3 linked regions of the Drosophila melanogaster genome follow. The protein of the gene in region 1 interacts with the protein of each later gene in a pairwise test. Each region holds a gene or a part of one and is shown in the gene's direction. Other genes may lie near its edges.

Region 1 (3,313 bases):
TCCTCGAGCGACTCGTCCTCTTCCACATCACCCACTTCCAATTCATCGACTCCATCGACTTCCAGCTCAAGTTCGACACCCAGCTCTTCGTCCTCCACCTCAACTCCGTCCAGCAATAGCACTACGTCTACTTCGTCCTCCACTCCTAGCAGCTCTTCTTCCACTTCGCCCACTTCCTCCACCTCATCGACGACTGCCACAACCACGGCCCCCTCCACGTCCAGCGACACGTCCTCCTCCTCCACGAGCTCCGACAGCGAGGAGGTGGACAGGCTGAGGCGCAGGCTTCGCAGGCTCCGGCGGCTGAGGCGTCAGGAGAGGCGCCAGGAGATTCGCCGGGAGAGGCAGCAGGAAAGGCGCCAGCAGAGTCGTGCTGGAAGAAGGCGCCAACGTAGGGGATAAACCATCGGCTTAACCCGATCGAACAATGAAATGGTCCAAATTGAAAAATAAATGCATACACAAAAGCAACAATCGTAGTTATGACTTGGTAACTTGGCACCTTAAAAACAAGTGAAATCATTTGGATCGAATTGTTAGTCAAACAAAGAAATTCAATATTCGGTTTCATCTTGGAAAAGAAGAAGAAGGCTACACTATATACTCTAATGAAGAATCCTAAGTAAATCATTTTCCGATCTAGTTAGTTGATCAAGTGGAACTGGTCTAAGTGCAGACATAATTCCAGATGATAACTTAATCGATTAGGAACTTGCAAATGAAAGTGAAAAATAGGAGTTTGTTCTAAGTTTTCTTTTAGTGAGAATTCATTCTTTATGTACAATATGCCATCTTAATCTTTATTTAAGCTTAGAGGTTATTTAAATATGGCTTTCTGTTCAAAAGGCTTAACAATACATATTCATCTATTTAATAAACAATGTACCGTGTTTGCACACATGCTAACAATACGTTCAGCCAGCCAATCCAAAAAAAAACCGTTTTGTTTAATTACTAACGAATTAGAACTTTCCACAGCCATCAACAGCTTTCGCGCTTACAGAGAAGATAGTCTCGTCTTTTTATTGAGTTTAATCTATTTGTCTTGACGAGAACGTAAAATGTACTCTAAAACATTCAAAGCAAACACAGATTCGACAATTAAAGCGAATCAAGTGGATCATCCCTATAAATACTCGGATTTAAACCACTATCCACACAGTACTCCATTTAGTGACAAACTGAGCTGAAGATGCGTTGCCAATTCGTTATCGCCTTTGGGCTTTTGGCCCTAATAGCAACTGCCTACGCCGATTCTCCACCTGCGGCAGGATCCCCACCCGCGTCATCTCCACCGGCTGGAACCCCAACCTCGCCACCTCCAGCGACTGGAACACCGCCCTCACCATCCCCAGCGACTGGAACACCACCTTCAGCATCCCCAGCTGCTGGTACACCGACCTCGCCAACTCCAGCGACTGGAACACCGTCCTCGCCAGCTACTCCTGATGCGCCCGCTTCCTCGACATCACCAGCTACGCCCACATCGCCCAGTGACAGTGGATCCAGCAGCAGCCAGGAAGTGATTAGGCTCAGGCGTCGGCTGCGCCGGCTGAGGCGTCAGCTCCGCCGCGAGAGGCGTCAGGCCAACCAGAGTAATCAGAATGGAGGTGGTGGTCAGGGGCGAGTGGTTCGCCGTGTACACCGTCACCGTCGTCTATTGTAAAATTCACGAACATGTTGGCTACGAATTTGAAATAAAATTCCAGACAGAAATGCAATAAATCTAAAAAAAACATAAATGTATTGAATGGCTTTTTAAATTAGAGGAACCATCGCTCTTTTTGTAATGCATACATTAGTAAACTAACTTATATTTGCCCAACAAACTTTCTAAACATTGCAATGAATATTTCGAATAGAAGCGTTCTAAACATTGAAATAAATATTCTGATTAGGAAGTTCGTTGCACATATTTAATTCAAAATGACCGCGAAACGGTGCTGCCAGATGTCTGAATTTCGTGCACTGCGGAGCGGATCTTCTTTCTACTAAGGCAGGAAGGGTCATACTAACACCTCCACTTCTCACCAAAACAAAGGTTACCCCGAAATTTAATCAAAATAAATCGAAATGCCGGTGGATTGGTTCGGATATGTGTACGCAGCCACGGTCGCCGCCGGAGGAATCATGGGATACGCCAAGGCGGGTAAGTGACCAGCCCCCTGACCGTGGTCATGTCCGATTGTGCAACGCCCTGCATTCCAGGTTCCATTCCCTCGCTGGGTGCTGGTCTGGCCTTCGGAGCCCTGCTCGGCTATGGCGCCCACCTCAACTCCCAGGACACGCCTCGTCCCCTGCTCCAGTTGGGCACCTCCCTGTTCCTGGCCGGGCTGATGGGCGCCCGCTGGAACCGATCCGGAAAACTGATGCCCGCCGGAATGGTGTGCATGCTATCCGTGGCCGCCTTGGTCAAGAACCTGGCCACCTATAATCGCTACCTAATGCCCGCCGGCACAAAGGCCCCTTAGGCTAATTTCCGGCCACATGCTGGACTTGCCAGGAGATTGCCCTACCTTCATTCTTCATTCGTATTGAATAGGTTTTCTACTTTTCGGTGATTGGAACTTTGGTAATGCGCTGTGTCACTTTCTAAGATAGTGATTAGGAACTGTACTTGCTGCAAATATATTTTATCACCTATGCTTTTAACTTGTGGACTTCTTTGTACTCAATTGTAATACTTGGTCACATTTAATAGCATACTTTCAGGCACTTTGGTATGACAGTTCGCATAGAAGCACAGAAATACACCATTTCGTACATTCAAATCTTTTTTTGTATATTTATTGTTTAACTTAGCTTTTGTTTCTTTTGTGTGTGTGATAAATTTACAGTTTCATCTATTATACGATGTTCAGTTAACTACAACTAAAACTTAGCTATTACATTTTGTTGCTGCATGAAAAGAGCATTAGGCTAGGTAAACGTAGAGTGATGGATTTTTTTTTTTTTTTAGAATTTAGGCTTCTAACAAGTTTATTACAATAATGAAGTGAATAATTTGAGTTTTCTGCAGGCAAAGTGCGGCAAGGTAAGTATATTATCGATTCTCCACCTTTCTAGCATTTTCCCAACAGGAAACGATAAATATTTGTTAAGTAGAGTGTACAAATTATATATGTTTATCACATTGGAAAGTGGGATTATTATTAAATTTCCTTTCGATTGATTTGTGGCTCAAGAAATAATTTAGGTTGTCTGCCGAAAGTGCGTGCATGTGTAGATGAAGTTTTTACAGAATTATATGTACTATTTTACAAAATTGTTTGCATTTTGCATTAAATTAGATTACATAATATATGCGTGTACT
Region 2 (4,611 bases), on another chromosome or scaffold:
TCTACATGCAGGATGCCCAAAAACGGGTGGCTCTGCCCAAATCCAAGGAAGTTCTGGACACATTGACCCTCGATTTTCAGCGCAAACTGCGTCAAATTGAGATGCGAAAGACGCAGCATGGTCTGAACAAGCTGAAGGATTATGCTCCCTTGAAGGAAACCAGTCCCATGCTGCCCCTGCGACCAGAAGCCGGAGCAAGTGGAGGCGCAGGAGGATCCGCTCAGTCGGTGGCCAAGGCAATCGACAAAACAGTGCAGGACTTCGATGCCAAGTTCACCTCCTCCTTGGTGGCAAAGGCCTCTAGCACACTGGCCCATTCGGAGCCCCATATGGAGACGCTGAAGAAGAGCGATTCTGCCCAGGAGGAGCAGGAACACGATACTTGCGATCAGCGGCTGGCGGGCAGTGGAGACCTGGACCTGCCATCCTTGGCGCCCTTGGAGTTGCCCTCCTTCGATTACAGCCTGTTCACCAGCTCCTCGGCTCCTTCGTTGGCCAGCTATGCCGGCATGGCTGAGAGCTTCCAGAAATAGGCCTGGTTAAGATCCATTTGTAAAACTTCAACTAATTTGAAAGATCTCGTGGTAATGCAGTGCCCGCTGAGTGGTGATTAGGATTTAATTTTAGGCACGTTCTTCATTTCAACGTTTTGTGCAGTTCCCTTTGTGAAGTGTATTTGGGAATTCTCTAAATAAATTAAATTAGGTTAATTCACAATAATAATAATAATAATAATACTTTGTGTATTACAATCTAAGTCGTTTATTTGGCCATCAGACCCTTCAGCAGATCATCCATGTCGGTTTCGGTGTCGACATTCTTGAGCAGAAGCAGCACCTGTGCCTCCATCTCGCAGAGGATATCTGGTTTCTGGTAGGTAATGATCAGCGTGTTGAACTGGTGGTGGACAGAGAGGCTCTCCTGCGCGGGCTTGACCCCACAGCGGTCCAGTTCCGGGACCGGGATGACCTTGTAGTACTTCTTGTTCGAGGTGCGCACGACTATGGCACGCTTCTCGGGATCGGCGGTTACGCTGTATGTGTCCAGGGAGTAGGGCATGTTGCGGATGCGCCACTCAATGTTCTTCTTGGTGATCCGCTTGGTCAGCAGTGGCGCGGTGTTGCTCTCCCGCAGGGTGAAATCTCCGCCGGCCAGGGAGTCCGTTTCCTCGCCAGATCCTGGTGGCTTGTTGCCCGACCAGTTTAACTGACGCGGCTCATCGCCCAGCTCGATTTCCCACTCCGACTCGCCCATGATCTTGTTGCTCTTCGATTTCCAGGCCCGCCGCTGCACGATTCCCGTGTCCATGTTGTACTCCTCGGCCATTTGCCTGCCGTCCGGGAATTTGTAGAGCACCTTGCGGGCGCGGCCACTTATCATGGAGTTCTTCTCCGCCGCCTGCAGGTAGTTTAGCCAGTTCTGGTAGGACATCTCTGGGGATTGATGGGATTACCTAGGCACACGTCTCCGCCGGAGATTCGAATATAACAACTGAACGGGGCAGAAAATTTGATCGATGGCGCAAAGTTGAAAATTTGTTGAGAAGCACATTGCGATGGAAACCTGGCAACCCAGCTGCCAGCTTGTTTACATCGCAAGCCGGGTTACCAAGGCACTTTAAAGCATTACATACAATACCTTATGATCGATTTGTCTTGTAATATTTGGAGGTAATGGTTAATTTTAATGCAAAATACGTACTAATTCTTGCCATTTTTTTTACTTACTAATAAAATGATTTTGAAATTCGAATATTTTCCATGAATTCAGCTTTTTTCTGGCTACCCAATTTACAGTTGATTCCAGCGCGCGAGTTGGCAGCCCCGTGCGTACACAAAAAAACAGAGTTGACGTGGCCGGCGCAGTGACTACATAAAATATACGCATATTTCATCACGGCAGCGATTTAATTATTGCTATTTAAAGTAAGCAGCCAGTCACTCCGGCCGTAGTTTATAAATAGCCACTAGACCGTCCGTCCCGAATCCGTAGACTTAGCAGCTAATTTGGACGCATTTCTGCTTACAGGCGGCAGTCGAAAAAAGCGAAAATCCAAGAAGCGAAAATCGAACGAAAAAGGGAATTAATAAAACATTAAAAATGAGTTTGGTGTGGACTTTGATCGCCGGATTTCTCTATGCGGAAATCGCACTGGTCCTTCTGCTGGTGCTGCCGGTGCTCACTCCTTACCGCTGGAACCGGTTCTTCAAGTCCAAATTCCTATCGATGTTGGGACAACAGGCGCACATATATTTCCTGCTGATCATGGGAATTCTGGTCATTTTCCTCCTGGAGGCCATTCGCGAGATGCGCAAGTACTCCGGCTTGCAGCAGTCTAACGAGGTCCACTTGAACGTGGAGATGCAGCACAGCATGAAGCTGTTCCGTGCCCAGCGGAACTTCTACATCTCTGGATTCGCCATTTTCCTTGCCCTGGTCATCCGGCGACTGGTAAACTTGATCTGCACCCAGGCCAATCTCATGGCCCAGAGCGAGGCTTCCTTCAAGCAGGCACAGAGCGCCACTGCAGCCGCACGTTCCTTGCTGGAGAACAAGAACACCGAGAAGGCCAAGGAAGCCGGCGAGGATACCACTCTCATCGAGGTGAGTCCACGTCCCAAACCCCTGCATCCGATCCCCAGGAATGGCATGTCTAGAGAGCTAACACCTAAGACTTTGGAGTTCAATTGGCTACTACCAGCTGTAAAGATATGGCAATGCATATAGAAGGTGTGGTCAAAATATGGCGAGATAATGTCTTTAGCCGACTAAATCTATAAAATCTATACTTCATTCCACTTTCTGGTACATTTTCTCAATTGGTTTTGAATATAAGATACGAAAAGGCTTTAAATGTAGTCTATTAACGATATAGAACTTTAAATACCAGTATATATCATGATTAAAATCTTAAACGTAAACTTAAATCAGTTTGAAGACCGAGTGAATTTGTCATAGGCTTAGTGCTTTTGTTTTGACCGCAGCTAAACGTTTTGAAACCACACCCAAACACATATGTTGGGCCACGATAAACAGAAGCCACCACTCGAAAGTTTAAACCTCTTGTTAACTCTTTAAACAGCTGTCAAGACTGCGGAGACGTGTGCAAGGACTCACCGCCCGAGTGTCCTAAGTATCCCCACCTAGAGCACCCACCTTATATCCATTCCCAAACACCCAAAACGAACAAAAATCCAATCGAAACTCAAACGAAATCCGAATTTTGCAGCTCAACAAGCTGCGCGAGCGCGTCCAGGAGCTAACCTCCGACTTGAATCGCGAAAAGAAGGACAAGGAGGCGGTTAAGTCGCAGGCGGAGAGCATCAACCGCGAGTACGACCGACTCACCGAGGAGTACAGCAAGCTGCAGAAGAAGATAACCATCGGCGGAGGCGGAAACAAGGATGATTAAACTCACTGGAGCCAAGTCCAACATTTAAATAACGATAAGACTTATAAGCATGGCGGTGGGGCAGCGAAAGCAGGCACATTTAAAAGATTATAACGATTTCAAATCGATAGAAAGCACACACATCTTATTGTTAATCCTCATAGATACAACTACATATACCATTTGATAATGATAATGGGGTATATTGATAATGGTCCCTCAACTCAATGTTCGTTTCGTCCGAAGTTTTGTATTTAATTCGTATGTGTTAAGTTTTGTTTGCCACAGTAACACACCCAAAAAGCGTCGTGGCTATTAAAAGAACAACCAAAAAGTACCCATCCAGTTGTGATCGATTCGATGATTCATCTGTTGGCGCGGATAGTCCACATCATGTCTGATAGTACACGGCAATGACGTCAGACGTCGCAACCTGTTTGCATACTTGGAGCTTAGAAATCGGAGGCGTTACATTATCGGTGTGCGAAAAGGGCATCGAATATGTTTCCTTGATAATTACCCAGAAATGCTAATCAAATTCGCATATTTAGTGATCTATCGTGGTTTTGCAGTGCATACTTTAATCTTAACTTGAACAGAGATCATCCTACATAAATTTGCTGTTCAATAAACTGCATTAAAATGCTTACTCCCACCAGAAGCTTACAGAGAAGCTAGGAGCTTCAGATCTCACATAGTGCCACCATTTGGGTGGCATGTACAAACAGTCACCAGGTTGCAGGAGCAGCTGGTAGAACTTCACCTTGGCTACCAAGGGATATGTTTCAGGATCCAGTTGAGCAGCATCTATTCGCGCTGTATTGGCCAAAAACTCACTGTCGTGGGGATACAGATTGTCTGTGTCTGCAGGAGCAGCTAGGATGATCCTCTTCGAACCGAATACCTGGCACAGCAAGTTGTGCTTGGGATCGTAGTGCATGGGAGATACGGTTCCAGCTGGTCCCAGCCAGGCTTTGATGTCCACAGCTCCTGGGGTATCTTCGTTGCTGATGGTGCAGTAGTCGGGAATGGATATATCCTCTTTGAGGGCTGGTATCTGGGCGAAGAGCTCGTGCTGAGCGAGATACTCGATATTTTGGCCAGCCTTGCTTGGTTCCTTTCCGAATTGTCTGCTCAGGAAGTCGCGGATCTTCACCAGCTGCTGGGACCATTCATCGCTGGCATAGTTGGAACCTATTTCAATGGGCACCGTGCGATTC
Region 3 (3,219 bases), on another chromosome or scaffold:
GAATTATCTTAAACTTTTTCACTTTAGCAGGATGGCAAAACAAAAGTTTGAGGTGTGGGATCAATCTATATCACAAATTATTGTGACATGTATCGGTACCTTAATTCAATTTACGGTGCTTGTGTTTTATCTTATCTTTTAATATGGCAAAATTCGTTCATCGTTGTTTAAATTTGTGATAAGATAGGATAGTAAGCCTAACCGTTTATTTTTATTCACGCCGATCTTAATTAGTTGCCGCATTGCTATTTTTCATTTCATAGCGAAAGGTATTAGTTTTCCAGAATGAACGCAGTTGGCATTTTCATAATATGTCTGGGTGAGATTTTTTAAGTTATAGTAAGTAGTGACTTTGTAAAGATGTCCTTTCTAAAAACAGCATGTTCCCTTGGAGCGAATATTCCTCCAAAACCGTGCCAAGTGGAAACAAATTGTGGTACGGTGAATGAGACAAGTTCCATTTGCGGATTGGATGAGGAAATGGGTTGTATACGAAAATTTCCATCCAAGTGTCATTTGGATATAGCATTTTGCCATGAAGGAAAAAGTAAGTCCGATTATTAAACTTTAATCTCGCATATTATTAAATTATTTCATTTCAGATTTCACCGACTTTAATGAGGAATATTGCTCAATGGAATCGTATCTCTGTGAGATTTCACCCACATACGAACGCTGGACCATTTTCTTCGGGCATGAGAATTAATTCTAATTGAAAGTGCGAAAATTTGCTGCATTACGCTTATATAACAGAATTTATCTGTTTTCAAATTAAATTTTTTTCTCATTTCTAGAGTATTTTTACATAATATGAAATTAGTCCCGCATGATTGAAATGTTTTGGTTTAATTTCAACAACCAGAAAAGGGGAAAGAAAACAGCGTATAAATAAGAGAATTTGTGGGTATAAATATCAGTATACATTCTTCAAGACAGAGGAAGCCCTCTCTACGAACTCAGGACGCTCTTCTTTGGCCACCAGAAAGAGTGAGTGAAGACTTGGCTAATCGCCGACGACATACGTGTAAGTTCATTAGGTAGCATTTCAATAAACAATCAATCAACGCGCAACGGGCCATTCACGTGCCAGGCGACGTTGACTACGTCAAAGACCGGTAGGAGGTAACCGATGCCCAGCAGCGTTTTTTCCCACTCAGTGAGACAGAACGACGCCTCGAGCCTTTTATACGAATCTTAATTCGGATTTTTTGTGATCTTTTTTTATATTTGAGTTTTTTTTCTTTGCGTTATTTTTGGGTCTTCGACGGGTGCTTTGCATAATCTCTCGCCGCGGCGCCAATGCCCATTGGCCTCCTCCTTCAACGCCAATCAGTGAAGAGCTCCAGACTGGCACACTTGCACATATAAAAAGTGGACCCAACCGAATTTTGCTTGTCAGTTAATGCCCATCAATCGAATCAATCCCAGCACAGCCATGAGAAGCGCGTCGCTTAAGTTCTATCTGATATGTCTGCTAGTTATCTGCGGTTAGTGTTATTAACTAAAAATGTTATGCATCAAATGCAATTACCTGTGTCCGAATTTTTGCAGTGATCGGTTGGAGTGCTGGAGCACCGAGTCCGCAACTTTCACGTAAGGAACTCGAGGATCGATATCGACAAAAGCCCCCGGTGCCTGATGAGCGAGATGCGGATGCAGAATTGGATAGTGCCTACGATCGGAATACCCGAAGACCTTGAAGTGCAAATCTGAAAGGCTGGAGACACCCAACGCCCACAATTGATTTGTGGTTCTGTGTGGAGTGCCACTTTTTATGTCGTATTCAGGGTTATGGCTATGTAGTTCTAAGCTTAGGCAAAATGTACAAGCGTAAAATAAAGCAATTACTTGGGTGAAACGTGCGCATCGTTACTTTCCATTCTATCACGTAGAATGTGGGGCGACATCCGACGTCGGCTGGCGTCTATAAAATATGAACTCTCTGGCATTCGATTCAGTCAGTTATCAATCTCCGGCTAGTGCGAAAAGTACAATCAAAATGACCTCAGAAAGCAAGATGGTTTTGCTCTTCCTTATCGGATGTCTCGTCATGCAGACAAGTGAGTCACTGGATCATCTGGTATCATGACATTATTTTAAACCTAACTGCATTTTCTTTCAAGTCAACGCCCTGCCATTCGATAGATTCAGCCAGGAGGATGACGAACGGAACAACGAGATCAGCGGCGAATGGTTCAAGAAACCCATCCTCAGGTTCGATCGTCTTTTTGCCACCGAAGAATCACCGTCGGGAAGTCGGAAAGAAGTGAGAAGGCCCAGCAGAAGCGACAAGGGTGAAACCACGGAGAGCTCCAAGCACGCCCACTCCATGATCACCTCCATGCTCGGATTCGTGAGCAGTGTCATCAACTTTGGCAGGACCTTCATAAGGGATCAATAGAAAATATCCTAGTCCATCTGGCACATTTCGAGATTGCATTTTCCACATGTTGTAGGTTTAAATATTGTTGTTTAAATATTGCTTAAATATTGTTGTTCCAAAATAAAAGATTTGGCTTAAAACTATCAAGTATTGGATGTTAAAGAAAGCTTCTCTAAATCCTTTCCAATTTTCAACCAAAATTAAATTCAGCCTAGGTGTTACAATTAGAGGTTTAAAACAGAGTATTTTGAAGACCCATGGTTTAAATACTCACCCGCATATAAATTTCTCTTTAATCCATTCCGTTTTATAAAATTCATCTGTGTAAAGAAGCTAATTTTAATTCTTATTCATAAAATCAGAGCAAATTTACCAAGTAGCACTCAATAAGCTATAACACCGGCGGATTTTTCGGTTGCCCTTTAGGCTAACCATATAAAAACCCGACGGAGATTTTGGTGGATCCCACTATAAATTCTCTTTAATTCGCAGAAACAACCCAGAATTGCCTTTTTTAAAACTTAATCCTTTCCTTCTTTGCTTAATATTAAATTTACTCTTAACATAAATTACTTTTCCCAGCTGAAACTTTTGTTTTTCTTTAAATTTTTCCATGAAGCTTCTTATTTAATAAGATAAACACAAAATTACCATATTTTGTTGATAATTTAACTTAATAGTGGTGCACAATTAATCTTTTGATTACACTTAATATATTTATTTTACAGCCTTACACAGCTGGAAGATTTTCACAATTTTCGAATTTAAAGTATAATTCATTTAAAAAGTAAGCGTTCAAACAATTTTCACCGATATTCACGCGTTTACAACTCGTT

The links. Proteins that work in one complex are often made in the same cells at the same time.
Region 2: the proteins of CG5532 (region 1) and CG13887 interact in a two-hybrid assay, tested with the Drosophila melanogaster proteins (one large-scale study listed by BioGRID).
Region 3: the proteins of CG5532 (region 1) and CG13299 interact in a two-hybrid assay, tested with the Drosophila melanogaster proteins (one large-scale study listed by BioGRID).

Annotation. Positions count from the first base shown.
Region 1 is NT_033778.4:23,750,757-23,754,069, forward strand, and holds CG5532 (uncharacterized protein), read left to right. Parts: upstream 1-1,997; 5' UTR 1,998-2,073; coding exon 2,074-2,149; intron 2,150-2,208; coding exon 2,209-2,471; 3' UTR 2,472-2,759; downstream 2,760-3,313. Other genes in the region: CG12491 (uncharacterized protein), read left to right, coding at 1-402; CG11300 (uncharacterized protein), read left to right, coding at 1,193-1,666.
Region 2 is NT_037436.4:836,021-840,631, forward strand, and holds CG13887 (uncharacterized protein), read left to right. Parts: upstream 1-1,840; 5' UTR 1,841-2,100; coding exon 2,101-2,604; intron 2,605-3,082; coding exon of another isoform or gene 3,083-3,133; exon of another isoform or gene 3,134-3,229; coding exon 3,230-3,412; 3' UTR 3,413-3,911; downstream 3,912-4,611. Other genes in the region: CG42554 (uncharacterized protein), read left to right, coding at 1-533; CG13901 (uncharacterized protein), read right to left, coding at 763-1,431; JMJD5 (jumonji domain containing 5), read right to left, coding at 4,038-4,611.
Region 3 is NT_037436.4:6,231,105-6,234,323, reverse strand, and holds CG13299 (uncharacterized protein), read left to right. Parts: upstream 1-1,962; 5' UTR 1,963-1,999; coding exon 2,000-2,060; intron 2,061-2,123; coding exon 2,124-2,401; 3' UTR 2,402-2,519; downstream 2,520-3,219. Other genes in the region: CG42714 (uncharacterized protein), read left to right, coding at 286-319, 380-547, 603-706; BG642312, read left to right, coding at 1,403-1,487, 1,552-1,700.